Drosophila melanogaster: one gene and its partner. The protein of the gene in region 1 interacts with the protein of each later gene in a pairwise test. Each region holds a gene or a part of one and is shown in the gene's direction. Other genes may lie near its edges.

Region 1 (10,771 bases):
CGAATCTGGAGCCGACTTGGCGTGAATGGAAGGCATTAAGTTATTGCATCGCCATCACAGCGAGCATTATCGCTGATGCATGGACTTGGGGCGATCCACAGTCCATATATTTTTGGTCCAAATGACGGTGAAAATCTACATGGGTGCTTAGGCCCGTCATTAAACGCAGGCCAGGTATTTGCGGCGATTATGCCAAGCACTTGTGGCCGCAAAACCGAAATTAAAAACCAGGAAACCAGGCAACGCAAATCATATAATACAATGCGAGTCAAAAGTCAGCCAAAAAGCAAAGATTCCGTTTCCCCCATCCGATCCTCATAGCATGTAATTCACGGATGGCTGCTCCTTTTTGGCTGGAGCACAGCTCATTAGCAAGCCATTTCGATGGTCGTGCCAGTGCATGGCAAGAAATGCAAATAAATCGGTGATGATCGATTTGATTTTGTCATTAGATCACTGCACTTACTGCACTTTCTTAAAAATTACTTTAAAATTCGCCTATATTTTAGTATGTTACTTTCAAATATTTGTGTAATATTTATTTAGCTAAGTTAGCTTAAGCTAAATTTCTTTCTGTGCTGGTGCCACGCTTCAATGGAGTTGGGCGGCCAATCCCGGACTTTCTGTCCCAAAGACGGACACGAATTGTCGCCAGTTGGGGATCACGAAATGTGGGGCCTTCACTTGAGTAATTTCCCAAGCGTTTGCAATACCGTTCGTTCTGCGATTTTAATTGTATTCAAATGAATTAGAATGCACTTTTTCGCTTTTAGCCTGGCCGGGTTTTACGATTCATAAATTGTCCGCCAGTGACGTTTATGGTCGCTATTGCAGGTTTGCAGGTTTGTAAACATAATTGAGCATTGCAGATGGAAATCTCGGTTGTGGCCTAGTCAGATGGCGATAGGCTATCTTAGCTAGAGATTTGATTTCTGTCATCGAAGTCGGGTATAATCCTAGATCAGATTATTGAGTTATAACTACTGAAAACCAAGTAAGTACGTACGGCATGAAAGTTTTAATCAAGAATATATCTGCTTATATACTTTATAGGTCTACATATGTACTTTTCAAATAAGTTAATATACTCTTAAATAGAGCTTTTTGAAGAATAATAGCTTCTCATTAAGCATTACGTATGCTAAAATCTTGTAAAATAATTTACTTAAATTTGACTATGAGTTATTTTTCTGCACTTAATCTCATCGAAATGCACTCAATTTTTAAATGTTCCTCGTTATAATAACACATTTGATTTTATTGCACTTAAACGTCATAAAATCCATCGTCTTTTTACTTCCTTTACGTCAGGAATCATAAACTGTAGTTTACAAACTCTTAGGAGTTTTTTCTGCAACAGTCTTAAGATGCCAAGAATACGTCGACTTATGTATAGTACTATTGACCAACTCCAATTAACTTGTACATCGTCATATTGGTAATGCCATCTCGGTTCCGAGTGACCGAAAATGTTAACCATCCGTAGGAGCATTTGCGGCATTTGTCAGTGAGTTACTACTGCATAACAGTAGTTCGCCGAATGGCATTTTAATTGTCACTTGGCGCTGGTAAATTACACATTATTTATTCGCAGTACACTGCCATCAACATAGACCCAGTCATATGGAGCTGGGTTTCCATTGTGGCCACAAGACGCGGCGATACATTTTCCTTTCGACTTGGTTTGCTATCTTCGCAGGTCATTGCTGGCCACGATTGTGCAATTTCATTGTAAAACCACTTTTCATTAACAACCGTCGGTGGTGGAAAACCGCTAGCAAAAATACAAAAAAAAAAAAACCGTCAAAAGTTGCCAATTAAGATCTTGGTAAATGTTTTCAGTCCGAGTATATCAAAAACCATAGACTAAATGTTAAGGTTGACTCCGTCTTCGTCTGATAAATTGATACACATAAAATTTGGAGCATAAAACTGTCGTATGGCTCAAAAAAAACTCGGATACTCGGCGAATGTGAATTGCTGAATGCAAATGCCAAAATGTGAACTGCCAGCCTCATCATCATCATCATCATCGTCAACGCCGTCATGATCATCATTGATTTAAGTGGAGTCGACCAGAAACTGTTGCATTTCTGCTTGCTGCAGCCGGAAAAAAATCTACTAAAAATACAGCAAAAAGCACTTGAAATTAAATGAAAAAAAAAAAAATAGAAAAAAATATATATATAACTGAAAAAACAGCCGCAGCGTAGAAACTAATACAATAATAAATAGTAGTTGAAGAAAAGAAGATGTTGCCACTGCAGATCGCATCGTCGTCTGGTGATGTTGCTGCTACTTCTGCCGCTGCATGCAATGCAACAATTTCACAAGCAACACGCAGACAGCCAAATGACAATGTGAACAAAGTAGCAACAACAGATAGCTGTAGGAGAATTTATAATAAGTAACTGCGAGCGGCTTCGATCAAGAGTTGCGCAAAATATAGTAGAGAGAAAAAACAACAATAACAAATGCTGCTGCTGCCCGCAAATCTTCCACTTAATTATAAACTTATTTATTTGGTTAGCTTTTGCCGCCAAACTGTCCTAATCAATTTGCTAAGGATGAGGAAATGGCAGGCTTGCATCAGTTGGCAATTTCCACGGATTTCCCCAGCGCCAAATTTCACAGCTACCGTGTTAACTTTGACACCACCAACGCAAAGGCCCAAAATCGTAGCCCGATCGTCGGACATAGCCCGGCATTAGCATTATAGCATTAGGTAAGCGGGCTCAATTAACCAGCACGGCAATCGCAATTGCCCAAATTGGCCACCGACTTGACTCCGTCCGTCAGCCGCAGTCAGGAGTTCGCAATAAGTGATGCTGCCAGCAGCAGCTAACTCCAACTCCTAACTCCTAACTCTTAACTGTAGCTGCCCACGCATGCGCTGAAATGTTAATTCCCAATCCGTCGAAAAAACAGAAGGGCACAGTTGGCCAAAACTGAATGGTATTTCGACATTTTCTGTACGGTTAGAAATGAGAGAAGTTTTGACACTTCATTGATAAATCTAACACTATTTGCGGTTAATTTTTTATAGATCTCTGATTATTAAAATGATGCCTAAGCGGGTTTGTCTTGAAATTTGCATCACTACTAAAGTAAACCAAAAACATAATGAAGCATAAGTTATGATCCAGTGGACAAAGTGGACACATCTACACAAGTAGCTTTTAAATTTAAATTAACTAACAATAAATCATAGTATATTTACACAATTACAAAGTATCTCCGAAATCCAGTGGTCATGGATACAAAAAGTTTATTCTATATTGTGTTCAAATAAAACAGCAATTCTTGAAAATTTGTATAAAAATTAATATATAAAAATTATCTCGATTATTTGTTTCTTAACATATTTTACATTACATTAAAAATTCGTACATACATTTTTATCAAGAACACATTTTCTACCCACTGTGCCCTGCCAATTGCAAATGTCAAACGAAAGACTTAGGCAGCGAACTTGCTGCAAGGGGTGGAGTTTTGTTTTCCGCCGGCTGGTGTGAGCACTCGTACTGGGCTTGAGCATATTAAATATGCATTGCTAATGCAAATGAAAATGGAAACGCAAATGGAGGAGTCTCGCATCCGAATCGAAAACGCTTGTTAAAAGTAATGCGCCCAATTTGCACAAACACATACACAGACGCAGACAGAAAGGTTTAAAGACGCGAGACAAAACCAAAACAAAAGTGCCCTTTAGCCTCGACCAGCCCAAATAGCCATGGCCGGCAGTCAGATATAGTATAGTATGGTATAGTAATGTATAGTAATGTCCCTCTCCCTGAATCAAGTCAGTGTTTTCCCCGTCTCCAATTCGGCGAGGGCGGACGGCCAATTTAGTGTCACGTTAGCATTTTCGGGGCGCTTCCAGGCGGCAGGCAAATGCCCGGGCCGTACCATTAGCCTTAACTTAACTAGCGGTTAGCCACCGACAGGGCCGTCAACGTTCAATTGGCCCCCTGGAAGCGAAGGTTCACCGAGAAAAAAACAGTGCCGTTTTTGGGGGAGTTTTCAACGAAATTCTGGTGTCCAAATTAAATGTTAGCTATTATTTGGATTATTTCGAAATAACCTTGACAAAGGAAAGAGCGCGGCAGATATTAATTTACATATTTGACATTTCAAGCACTGCATTTAAACGACAGTCTTGGCTTATTTTCAAAGTTTTTTACTGCTTAACCCAGAAATAGTAGGCTTTTAAAAATCAGATGGTGAGCAGAAACTTATTGCACTCTATACATTCATATATTTATTAAAGTATTCTTTAAAACGTTAGCAAAGGTAGAAACGTTTGGTTATAAATTTTAAATTATTTTCACCGAATTTTCATAACCGATAAGCTTTACAATCGTATTTCTTAATGATGTCCAACTATAAAGTATTAGATGAAATAAAATCTTGAAGTTATTAAAAATAAATGTCATATCTAAATGTTATATCGAAAGAGGGATATTAAAGTGATGTTAGGACCTCTTGTTATTAGCACTTAATGAATACCTTTTTCCCTCTGTAGAGGCGGCACATTTGCAGAATCGAGCCAAAGAGGCGATCGCAGACAGACCTTTCTCTTTGTGTTGGTGCCTGGCTGGCACGACGAGCCGCAAAGGTCGTCTTTGGATATAGCCATTGTGGCTTTAGCTGGAGCTCGGAACTCGGGGATCGAAGCTCGGCTGTCGGCCGAGACTCGTCTGTTTTGGCCACCGGATTTATAAATACAAGTGTTGGCCGCACAACGCCAAAGATTCGTTGGCTGAACGTGCAGCAGCGCGCGCGATCTACTAAATCCGATCCCCGAAACGGAGCTTTTGCTCCTGGCTAAATAACTAAAAAAAAACCAGTAAAAAAATAAATTAAAAACCAAAGACAGGAAAGCAGACGACGGTAAAGCAATCAGTTCATCTTTCATATCCAATTTGTAGCGTTACGAATTTCGCGCCAAAAACAATCCAAGGATTACGGGATACGAATTGCCACTAAGACTTTGATTCAGTTTCGGTTTCGCAATTCACAGTTCGTAGCTTGCGAATTCGGTTTCAGATTGTGTCGAATCTTCAGTTGCATAACTGCCAGTAATAATCGCATCGTGTTGTGTGCTTCTTTTGGTTCAGTTTGTTGCAGCCGGCAATGCTCGATGCAGATGCAGCAGATGCGACCATCGTAGTCCCAAACGTCTGACAAGGAAAACGACAACGACAACGAAACCAAGTGGGAAATAATAAAATATATATAAGCCAAGTGACTGTGAAAGTAGCGAACGGCCAGGCACAGATTCAGATATTCAATTACTAGTCTGCTGGTTCAGTGACGCCACACAATGAGAATCCAAATCTTGCTCCTGACACTCTTGCTGGGTGAGTAGACACCGAAAGTGTTTAAGGGTTTGCGTTCCCTAAGAAATTACCAGAGTAATTGCTTTACATTTTTTTTTATGTTAGAAAATATTTTGTATTTATTTTTCCCCTAATATCAGTGAAACTACGACATTCTTTCTCAACTAATTAGGATTAAAACACAGAGTGAAAACATGAACAGGACACTTCTTAAAATTATAAAATAAATTAAAATTTGGAATATTTATACTAGTTTGCTATTTCAGAGATCCAAATAACATCAAGAATTAGCATTCAAATTCTTTAATCCTAATAAATTACTTTAATTTAGTATTTGTGATATTATTTCAAGGATATATTGAGTTAAGCAGTTAGTAACTTGAAAACCAAACCCAAAACTATTACAAGCTAAGAAATAAAACAAATTAAATACAAAACGTTCAATAATTATAGAATTAAAAAATAATTATATTAAATGCTGCACCATAAAACATTTAAGGGACATAAATAACTTTTTTTAACAGTACTTCCATTCAGTGGCATAAAATAATTTAATTTTAACAACTGTAACCTTTTGGTGCATCAAAATAAGTGCTGTTTCTCACATATACAAACTCTAAAGTGACACCTACACCTGTCCTCCCACACAGGCCTCGTCTGCGCCCAGGCCGTGGATGCGGAGGCCAAGAGCAGCCAAGCCAAGCCAGCGGAAGACAGCAAGAGCTCCGCCTCCACGCCACTGGAATCGGAGGCGACCAAAGACAAGCGACAAGTGAGCTCCAAGGAGACGTCTCTGTACCCCAACCACCGCAGCTCGGCGGCATCGTCAAGCGCCAACGATGATCCCGAGGATGGTCAGGAAACCATCTACGGCTCCAAGCCGAATCAGTTCATCATTCGCCCCATTGCACCGCACCAGCATCAGCAGCACGAATCGCACCAGGAGCCGCAGTTGAGGAACTTTGCGGCGGCCAATTCTCGACCCCATGCCGCCCAACTTCTCGAGCAGAGTCAGGAGGTGAGTTTGGGAATTTGTCCACTTTATGCATCCAAGGTTTTCTCCTTTCTGCATTGCATAGTTTTTGATTGTCTAGGATAAGTTATAGGTTATACTACTTATGTATTAGCTATCTGCAGCAACTGCAGGACTTGTTTTCCAAGTTGACCCATAAAACTGCCAGCCGTAATCCCTGGGTGTTCAATAGAGGGAGTGGGTGATCTACTGATCGACTGGCCAACTGACGGATTACCATTGCCATGAGGAATTGTTTGTTTTGTGCCAATCGGGGGGCGTTCCATCGACATCGCGGCTCTTGTCTGGCGTTTTGACTTGGCCCCCCGGCCATCAGAGGTCGGACATTGGACATCGGACGACCTGGGCGATCGTGACTTAGCATCGGCGGCAGGCACACGATTCTTTGCAAAATGCCGGATGTAAACATCTCGGCGCCCAAAACGACCAACATAAAAGGCAGAAAGCCAAATGGCCCAATCCCAGACGGATTTTGTCAAATTTTTCCCTTTCGCCGAGGCCAAGAAACCTTGACCAATATCTCGGCTTATATTCGGAACGAATTTGCAATTGATGGTAGACAAAGGCGATTGCAATTAGCCAAAGACAATGTTTTGGTTGCAAAACGTATAGAAATTAAAAGTGCCGGCAAAAGTTGTAATAATCATAATAATAATGATATTTTTTTATTATAAATGCAGTTGGCAAAACTAAGTCACGACATGACGGCGACGGCGACAGCAACAAATGCATAATTGCAAAATTATTATTTGTCTTATTACGCGTCAACACAATAATTTCCACCTCCTGCCATCCAACTTGAGTTTCCACCCATCCAACGGATTCGCTTGGCAATGGCTTCTCCAATTCCCCCCCCCCCCCCGCCCCGCCTCGCCTTGTCTTCAGTGGGTCTTGTAATAGTGCAAGACATCGGAGACCGTGGAAAAACAATGGCGCTTGTCGTGGGAAGAAAGTTGACATAATGTTATAATCACCCCACTTTTGGTCTGTCAGCTTTGTGTCGCTTCATGGCGCCTTGACTCGCCGGCGGCTTTATTTGCCATAATAATGTGTATAGTAGTCGATGGCACACTGTGCAACAGGTTTCCAGAAGAATTTAGGAGCTTTCTGTATTTTTATGGAATTTTATAGTAAGCTGCTTAAAACTGCTAAAAAAAAAGGACCAAATTCAAGAGTGTATAATTTACATACATGACGAATAAGATAGCTTAAATTCAATCAATAATTCGTTTTTAATTTAAAGAAGAGCAAAGGAATTGATTCGTTTTATTTTCAACTTTTTATTATAAATCTAAATATTTATGGCATATTTGTATAAGTTTTTTATGGGAAACCCCCACACACAACCTTGTTGCACAGTGTTGTGTTTGTTGTTGCTGTTGCAACATCGAAGAGTCCGCTTCTTTGTGGTTGTTGTGTTTGGCGTTGGCGTTGCCAAAGTTTGCCACAAGTGTTATATAAACTCATTTTTTTAGATGCCACGCCATTCTCACAGCGTTTGCTGCTCTGCTGAAGCACCTGCAACCAGTTGTTGCCGCTGCGGTTTTTTCGCTCGGTTTTTTATGTTTAAGTCATGATGGTGATGGTGTTGGTCATGCGGCTCCACTTTAAACGGCTGCTGACATTGGCCGCCGGCAGTTCACACACCCACCATAATTATGCGCCCCCACTCACTTTTTCCCTTGCCATCTATCTGTATCCGTATCTCGAAAGGTGCAGCACTACGTGTATCTGCAAGATATAATGCGCCATCATCAGCCCAAGGCCCTGCTGGCCGCAGGTCAAGGCAAGGGTGCGGCCAGTGCGCCCAAGAAGTCATCCACTCCGGTGGCCGAGGAGGAGCAGGAGCAGGAACAGGAGGCGGAACAGCGATACGCGGTGTCCATTCAGCCGCAGCCGCAGCAACAGCTCCAGCTCCAGCAACCACGTCCACGTCAGTACCAGGGTCCCTATCAACTGCCATTGCCGCTGCCTGCTCCACAGCATCGATCGGTGAATCCCCAGCAGCAGCAGCAGCAACATCAGCAGGTGGGTCATCTAAATGCGACGCTATAAAGCTCTTATACTAATCAATCCTACTTTCCAAAAGCCCTACCAAGTGATTCCCGAAGAGCAGTTTCTTAAGATCCTGGAGGAGGAGCTGCAGGCTAGAGCCTATCATGAGCAACTTCGTCAGCAGCAGCAGCATCAACAGCAGCAGCAGCAGCAGCAGCAACACCAACAGCAGCAGCAGCAACAGCACCACAAGCAACTGCCCATCCACAGCACGGCTGCCACTCACAAAGTGTTGCAGCAGGCGGATCCCTCGCTAGGATTAGGCGGCTATCGCGAGCGTTTTGTGGCCGAGCAGGAGCTGGTGACACCAACTTATTCGCATCCCCGCGGTGGTCCCAAATATCTGCCCTTGCCACAGGCGCAGCAAATCCAAGAGGATGATGAGCAACAACAGCAACAACCGCAGCGGGTGCAGCTCCACAAACCGATACCGCATCCCGGGCAGCAACTCATCCATGGACTGCCACCCCAGATTGCCTACTACCAGCCACAGATAAGCTACAAGACCCTGCCCAACCATCCACTGGCGAAATCTTCTCTGGAAAGTGAGATTGAGAAATTGCTGGCAGCCAATAAGCCAGGACAATCGTTGGCCTACGTTGACAGCAGCAATGAGCAGGTGGCGACAAGGCAGCCCGCTCCGCAGCACCCACCACCACCCACCTCGCATCCCGCGCTGAGGCAACCCAAGGCATACCTGGCCAGTACGCCCAACTCCCTGCTGGATGCCAATAACCAACCGTTCGTTCCATCGCTCTTCAAGTTCAGCAACTATCAGCAACCGACGCCAATTTATCCCACGCCGGAACCCAAGCGACTGGGACCCGTCGTCTATCCCACACAGCAGGCCAATCAGCCGCAACCCTCGCAGTATTACTACCAGGAGGCTACGCCCACCGGGGCACCCAAGCCGAGTCCCATTCCCAAGCAGTACCACCGATCCAAGCACTACAAGCTGGCTTCACCCGCTAAGGCATTGCTCTATGCCGATTATGAACGTCAGGGATCGCCATCTCCACCGCCGCCATCCAACTTCTATCCCAGTCCGCCGGATCCGCTAAAGCATTCCCAGAGAAATCTAGCCGTGACACCCACTGCTCTGCCGCTGCACGCTGAATATCCCTCACCGTCTCCATCGCAGTCCAGTATCTATGTGTCCCAGGGAACTGGAATTGCCACACCATCCCGGCCCACACCCACTACAGCTCCTATTCAGAAGCTACGGACTCTGGATGAAGTGAAGCAATTGAATCTGCCGCCTCCCAATGGCAAGCCACTGACCCAGGCCGAATTCCAAGCTCTTGTGGACGCGGGATATCCAGTGAAGGCAGTGCCCGTGCCAGTTCCCGTTCCGTATGAGCAGTACGTTAAGGATCATCCGGAGTACCGCAATCACCCGCCTGTAGACTACGCTCACATCATGCGCCTGGCCACGCGGCAATTGGCTGCACATCAGCAACACAGATCGCTGGCCGCTCCCTCGGAGCCGTCGGTCAAGATCCTGTCCACTCCTTCCGCCGGAGAGCTGCATCAGCAAACGGCCACAGGCATCGGCGGCGGTAGTATCACGTATTTGCAACCCATCGAGGGTCAATCCCATCCCCATGCCCTGGCCCATGTCCATGCGTTGCAGAAGAGGAGACCGCGTGATGAGCAGGATACCGCCGTGGCGGGCAGCGAGCCCAAGGCGGCAGCTCCGGAGGCGGAGTCTGCGAAGGCGAAGGTGCAGTAAACCCATGTCCTGTTTTAGTTAAAATGTCCTTGTCTAGTTTGTAAGTATTGTAAAAATGTTTCAGCACACTTCCTTAATGTTAAATTATAAACCGACAAATAAACATATGAATAAAACTAACAAATAATGTTAACCCCTTTAAGAAATGTAATGTCTAAGGTATTATACCTTTATTCTGTCATCTATCCCCCAAACATTGCAGTTTCCCCACCTGCAAGAACCCTCACTTAGTTAAGGTTCATGGGCGGCAGGCTATTGCTGTTGCTACTGTCCTCCGAGCTGAGAGTGTCCGGAGTGGCTGTCTCGCGCGCCTGCAGGCGTGATATATGCGGGTCACGCTTGTCCTTATCCTTTCGCTCCTTGTCCTTGTCCTTGTCCTTGTCCTTGCTGTGCCTATGCTTGTGTTTGTGCTTATGCTTCTTCTTCTCCTTCTTCTTTTTCTTCTTGAGCCCACCATCGCCGGACTTCAATTTGCCCTCCTCGTGGCTACTCTCATATCTGGTGGAGTCGCCCACGTCGAGCATTGTGGATGAGTTATCATCCTCGGCGTACATTTCGTTCTTAAGGCGCTTGGCAGCCTGATGGGTATCACGTGCTTCTTCATCTGCC
Region 2 (7,059 bases), on another chromosome or scaffold:
GTGCCGCCTGGTGTTTGCGTATGTCGCCTGCGCCGGCGATACTTTTCCCCATTTCGCGGTCGGCAAAACGCACAATCCCACGTTATTTGCACGATATTACTGGAAACTCAACGCACCTCAGTCAGGCTAGGGATGTAAGAATACATCGATGTATCGAGAATCGATGTACCGTGCCCATAATTTTCGATGTTTTTTGTTGATATCGATGCTTTGCTGAACCAGCTGTTTAATTATACACCGTTCACACAACCGCGTTTTGGTTCCATGTGAATTATTTAAATCGTTCTAGATTTAAATAAAAGTTTTTGTGTGTGTTCTTTTTTATTTCTTTTACTCCTATTTTCAGTCAGTTTCTTCTTATTATCATATATCATCGTATATTTATTTATTTGTATATGCTGATACTTATCATTGAATGAATCATATCTTAAAGCTTATAAATGAAAAAATAAATGGTTTATACATGTAGTTATTAAGTTATTTAAAATCTGCCCAATAAAGGCGCTTAAGAGATTTATTTAGTGCAATCTGTGTTTATTGGCCTAGAATTTTATACCACTAACTTAACTAACTTCAGTGCCTTGTGCGCTCCACAGTTCGCCCCCGATCGAGTAGCTCCCGGAAGGTTTTGACCTCGTGTCGGGGTATGCTCTCCCGGTACTTGGGCTGCATCAGCCCGTAGATGAAGTCCAGCTCCGTCTCCTCGTCGTGTCGTCCCTCCGGCAACTTGGCTAGGAGCGCTCGCTGCTTGCAGATGAATGAGTCGATCACTTCGTCGTAGGACTGCTTCGTCTCGAAGATCTCCATGTATATCTGGTAGGAAGGTTTAGTGGGCGAGAAGTGATCGCGCAGCAGCTGCAGGGCATCCGACCAGGTCTTGGCATCCCGGCGCACACCCTTCCACCACACCACGGCAATGCTCTTGAAGAGCAGCGGCAAACCCTTTAGCGCATCCTTGTCGCTGATGCCCTCCACCTCTTTATACGTCTCCACGGCATTGATGAACTCGTCCACGGCATCGTGATCCCGCTGGCCACTGAATCTCACCGTGCAGTTGCTAAAGCTACCCTTGGATGGCGGTTCCTCTTTGATTGGCCCCAGCGATTTAATGGTTTCTATGAATATGCGAAACTGTTCGTCGGACATCTGCGTCATTTTGTTGCCGGTTTCTTGGGTTTGTTTGGGTTTAAAAAATGAGTAAACAAGCGCCCGAAATAGACCAGCTCAATTCCGATTTCAAGCCCCAATCGTTAGACGGTTGGGGGGCAACTGGCAATTTCGCTTGTTGTGAAATGAAAAGCCACATTGCTCTCCTCCCTCTCTCTTTCTCCGTAAGTAAAAGCTTTTTCGAGTTTCGAAAAATATCCAACACTCTCTCTCTCTTCAACATTTTTGAATAATTGGAGAGCACAGTTTGTGGCGGTTCCTCCGCAAGGAGGCCACCACGTGGAAGGAAGCCATCGCTCTCATCCGCGAACACTTCTCGCCCACCAAGCCCGCCTACCAGATCTACATGGACTTCTTCCAAAACAAGCAGGACGACCATGACCCCATTGACACCTTCGTCATCCAGAAGCGAGCGCTGCTGGCCCAGCTGCCCAGCGGTCGCCACGACGAGGAAACGGAACTGGATCTTCTGTTCGGTCTGCTGAACATCAAGTACCGCAAGCACATCTCCCGCCACAGTGTCCATACCTTCAAGGATCTCCTGGAACAGGGCCGCATCATCGAGCACAACAACCAGGAGGACGAGGAACAGCTTGCCACAGCAAAGAACACCCGTGGCTCCAAGCGCACCACCCGCTGCACCTACTGCAGTTTCCGGGGGCACACCTTCGACAACTGCCGTAAGCGCCAGAAGGATCGGCAGGAGGAGCAGCACGAGGAGTAGGCGACAAAAAGAACATCAAATACCAACAGGCAGCAGCCAACGTCATTGATGACCTCATCGCTGCTGCCGCCCACCCAAACAGAACTTTTCGTAGCCTCGCCAGCCGATCGACGTCAGAGAGAGCCCAACAACCGGAGAGCTGGAGATGGGGAGCAGCCACATCAACAGCAGCAACAGCAGCCACATCTCTTCATACTCTTCATACTCACTGGCAATCGGCGTGCCGGTAAGCCTCGACTAGCTTCTGAAATCCACAAATCCACGCTGTTTGTATTGCTATTCGCAATGCCTCGAAAACGGCTCTATTTTCATATAATTTCACGCCGACTTGCGGCTACTTTGGCACAGAACGCCAGCTTTTGGAAAGCAATAATTTTTATTGCAACATTGAACCTTTATTTGCAACTAGAAACTAGATTTCGAGAATCATCGGGCGGGGCGGCTGAGGATCTGGCATTTCGTCCGTAAGATCGGTTATTCGCAATGGAGGAATATGATATTCGAACCAAATGGCGGGTGAAGTGCCTCGGCATGGAGCTCCATTTTCTTCGAATCTTATGTTTTGACATTGCGAGTCTGAAATGGATGTTGCCTGATCTCCAGCCGCCCCGCACAACCGTTGATTCTCACAACCGCCGGCTCCACTTTGTGCCGGTCAGCGGAGAAAAAGCGATTATTTGGCTATCAAAAGATATGATCACTGTGTTGAGAGACATGGCAATCATCGCTATTGTAACCATATATTTGCTGATTTTTCGTCTGATCCTGGTCCTTTGTGAAGCTAGCAAAAAACCCCCCGCCCGGTGAATGCCCACTTAGATCCTTTTGCAGGAGGATTTCGACGGCCCTGAAGGTGGGCGCCACCCGTTTCGTGATGATTCACTCTGAGCAATAATACCAAAAACATAGACCTTCCCTCTCTTATTGGCTCTCCCCAATGCCTCAAGCTTTTTCGAAGTTCGATTTCACAACAGGCGGATATAAAAGGGCTGCAATGTGGGAGAGCTGTTCAGTTCAAATCACCGGCCGCATTCGCTACACTGGCTTTGTCCGCCGACTGAACCAAGATTAATTTGATCACCTAACCTCACACAGCAGCGAAAATGGCCCAGCTTACACAGATGACCAACGAGCAGCTCCGCGAGCTGATCGAAGCTGTAAGAGCGGCCGCCGTGGGCGCCGCCGGAAGTGCAGCAGCAGCCGGAGGAGCAGACGCCAGCAGAGGCAAAGGCAACTTCTCCGCTTGCACACACAGCTTCGGCGGAACCCGCGACCACGACGTGGTCGAGGAGTTCATCGGCAACATCGAGACATACAAGGATGTAGAAGGTATCAGCGACGAGAACGCCCTGAAGGGCATCTCGCTGCTGTTCTACGGTATGGCCAGCACCTGGTGGCAAGGCGTCCGCAAGGAGGCCACCACGTGGAAGGAAGCCATCGCTCTCATCCGCGAACACTTCTCGCCCACCAAGCCCGCCTACCAGATCTACATGGAATTCTTCCAAAACAAGCAGGACGACCATGACCCCATTGACACCTTCGTCATCCAGAAGCGAGCGCTGCTGGCCCAGCTGCCCAGCGGTCGCCACGACGAGGAAACGGAACTGGATCTTCTGTTCGGTCTGCTGAACATCAAGTACCGCAAGCACATCTCCCGCCACAGTGTCCATACCTTCAAGGATCTCCTGGAACAGGGCCGCATCATCGAGCACAACAACCAGGAGGACGAGGAACAGCTTGCCACAGCAAAGAACACCCGTGGCTCCAAGCGCACCACCCGCTGCACCTACTGCAGTTTCCGGGGGCACACCTTCGACAACTGCCGTAAGCGCCAGAAGGATCGGCAGGAGGAGCAGCACGAGGAGTAGGCGACAAAAAGAACATCAAATACCAACAGGCAGCAGCCAACGTCATTGATGACCTCATCGCTGCTGCCGCCCACCCAAACAGAACTTTTCGTAGCCTCGCCAGCCGATCGACGTCAGAGAGAGCCCAACAACCGGAGAGCTGGAGATGGGGAGCAGCCACATCAACAGCAGCAACAGCAGCCACATCTCTTCATACTCTTCATACTCACTGGCAATCGGCGTGCCGGTAAGCCTCGACTAGCTTCTGAAATCCACAAATCCACGCTGTTTGTATTGCTATTCGCAATGCCTCGAAAACGGCTCTATTTTCATATAATTTCACGCCGACTTGCGGCTACTTTGGCACAGAACGCCAGCTTTTGGAAAGCAATAATTTTTATTGCAACATTGAACCTTTATTTGCAACTAGAAACTAGATTTCGAGAATCATCGGGCGGGGCGGCTGAGGATCTGGCATTTCGTCCGTAAGATCGGTTATTCGCAATGGAGGAATATGATATTCGAACCAAATGGCGGGTGAAGTGCCTCGGCATGGAGCTCCATTTTCTTCGAATCTTATGTTTTGACATTGCGAGTCTGAAATGGATGTTGCCTGATCTCCAGCCGCCCCGCACAACCGTTGATTCTCACAACCGCCGGCTCCACTTTGTGCCGGTCAGCGGAGAAAAAGCGATTATTTGGCTATCAAAAGATATGATCACTGTGTTGAGAGACATGGCAATCATCGCTATTGTAACCATATATTTGCTGATTTTTCGTCTGATCCTGGTCCTTTGTGAAGCTAGCAAAAAACCCCCCGCCCGGTGAATGCCCACTTAGATCCTTTTGCAGGAGGATTTCGACGGCCCTGAAGGTGGGCGCCACCCGTTTCCGGTAGCGGCTTCGGCTGCTTCCGGTTTCCGGTGTCGCAACCCTTCGCGATGTCCCCCGTGCGAGTGGAGCTACAGTGGGCGTGAGCCGGGCAAAACCTAAATTTCTTCGGAGATTTAAAAAACCAACAAATTTTTTGACTTTTGTCAAAACAATTCGAACCCACATAGCACTACGATGGCTAACGATTCGCCATCCGTGCGGTTGGCACGCCAAAACTGTCTCTTCGAGATCACGGGCCTAGGGCTGTTTAACATTCGACCCAAGCGATTTCGCGACAGGCTTCGGCACGCCAGTATATAACCCAAAACACACAAACGTCAGGGGCTGGAACGCGTCACTGCCGTGCTCCTCCAGCCGGCACAGTCATTCCCCGCCCCCACACCAAGCAAAACCGGCCGCTTGTGCAGATGACATAGGCGCGACCAGCCAACTGACCCGGCTGACCAGACTTGCACCGTGCGCCATCAACTGGAATCTTGGCCACAAGCACAGCAATAGTTTGGCCCGCTATTCCCACACAGAAACCCAGAGTGGGGGCCTATGGAAGACCACAAGTGGTTGCGTGGAACTGCTAAAAATATAAAACTGTAAAACTAAAGACTGAAACTAGAAAACAACCATTAAACTCAGAAACGGAAAACTGCGTAATTGTTTTTATTTTATGGGGTGGATGGGACAACATTTTTACAGGGAATCATTTTTTTAAACAAAAGTTGATATAATATAAGAAAAAATGCAATTAGCCAAGCTCTACAAAGCTCACGTATTTAATAAATGCTCCACCGAATGAAATGAATATTACAATATGCCATATAAAAATACAACATTAAATGATATTAAAACTGGTTTCTTTATTTCAATATAATTAAATGTCTCAGCCCTTCTAGACGTTATGTATAATAATTTCAAGTGGCTACAATCAGACTTAAAATCTAACTGGATTTACTTTCTACTAATAATATCCCAATCAGAAGTCAGATGTTGTGTGATTACATCTTGTTACATTTTTGATGATATTTAAATAAATTATGCTACATCATTAGTCATTGTGTCAAAGTAATTTTAATTTTATACAGTTGCAGTTTCGAGGTCGGACGGAACGGTCTGAAATTAACTAACAATATCTCGTGTATTTTGTGTGTGCTTTCGAAAAAAGTTTGTTTGAAAAATGTGTTAAGAAAGTGGCGCCGCCGAAATACCGATATCGCCAAGTATCCAATTATCGACGTGCCGTGGGTCCCGATTGTCTAACATAAATAAAGCCTGCTGATATCGAAGTACAACAGCCCGATAGGTGGAAGCAAATATCGATGACAGTCTTTATTTATATATTTCCTAATCAATATACCTGATATCAACAACTGATGCACAAAACACACCGTCTCACCACCGACAGCCAGTACATGGAGGTCGAAGGCTTGCTGCAGGTAAGTGGATGCACTGCGTCCGCAGATAAATGAATAGGTTTAATCCAGTGGCTGCTGCAACGCCCTTTCTTTTCGCCCCGTCGCACCACACACGACACCACTTTGCTCTTCGCTCTCCACTCGCCGCTCGCCACACTCCACCCACTCGAAAAACCTGGCCAAAAACCACGCACACACATGCACAGGCCATGGACATGCCCACCAGCCACGACCCGGAGGCGGAACTGGAACCGGAGTCCACGTCGCTGTGCCGCCTGAGCCGCTACAACGTGACCAACCTGTACGACGGGCCGGCGGGCGGGGGTTCCTCATTGAGCTCGGGCCGCCAGCGTTGCTACACAATGCCGCATGTGCCACCGCCAGCGCCGCCCTCCACGCCCACTCTGCTGACCAGCGGGTGCGGCGGCAGCAGCAACTCCGTATCCGTCTCCATCTCGCCCACCTGCTCCGCTGGAAGCCATCCCTTGGATAGCCAAAGTTTGAGCCAGAGCCCCTTGAACCACTTCATCTACGTAAAGAATGGCAAGAACCTGCGTCGCGAATCGCGCTGCGTCGACTCGGAGCTGTCAAAGTTATTCAACGTGGTGTCCATCACAAACCGGCTGACGGCTATTAAGAACCGCAGCAATTCCATTTCGAATTCCAGTGGAATACTCAATGCCTCGCGCACCATATCGAAGTTAAACGGGGCGACGGCCACCAAGATCTTTAAGATTCATCGGGATCCGAAGGAATTTCTGCGCGAAACGGACGAGGATTCCGTGTCTGCGCCGGAGTACGACGAGGAGGAGGAGGACACGCGCTTCCGTTTCTTTCGGCGTGCGCGCTTCTCGAGGAGGTACAGTACCGCACGATCCGGCCGGAAATTTGCGCGAAAGTTCGCCCGATTTGAGCATCATGAGCGCATGGAAACCATCGTGGATAGTTTCGATGCAGCAATGAGCTTCAATGATGCAGACACCTGAGAGGCGGAGGCCACGACGAGGACGACGACGACAGC

What was found. Proteins that work in one complex are often made in the same cells at the same time.
Region 2: the proteins of CG34382 (region 1) and Arc1 interact in a two-hybrid assay, tested with the Drosophila melanogaster proteins (one large-scale study listed by BioGRID).

Annotation. Positions count from the first base shown.
Region 1 is NT_037436.4:9,874,214-9,884,984, forward strand, and holds CG34382 (uncharacterized protein), read left to right. Parts: upstream 1-4,771; 5' UTR 4,772-4,893; exon of another isoform or gene 4,894-5,120; 5' UTR 5,121-5,326; coding exon 5,327-5,363; intron 5,364-5,992; coding exon 5,993-6,360; intron 6,361-8,088; coding exon 8,089-8,403; intron 8,404-8,464; coding exon 8,465-10,162; 3' UTR 10,163-10,280; downstream 10,281-10,771. Other genes in the region: Taf2 (TBP-associated factor 2), read right to left, coding at 10,390-10,771.
Region 2 is NT_033778.4:14,356,136-14,363,194, reverse strand, and holds Arc1 (Activity-regulated cytoskeleton associated protein 1), read left to right. Parts: upstream 1-2,897; 5' UTR 2,898-2,994; coding exon 2,995-3,759; 3' UTR 3,760-5,268; downstream 5,269-7,059. Other genes in the region: Arc2 (Activity-regulated cytoskeleton associated protein 2), read right to left, coding at 574-1,155; CG8617 (uncharacterized protein), read left to right, coding at 5,997-6,059, 6,245-7,024.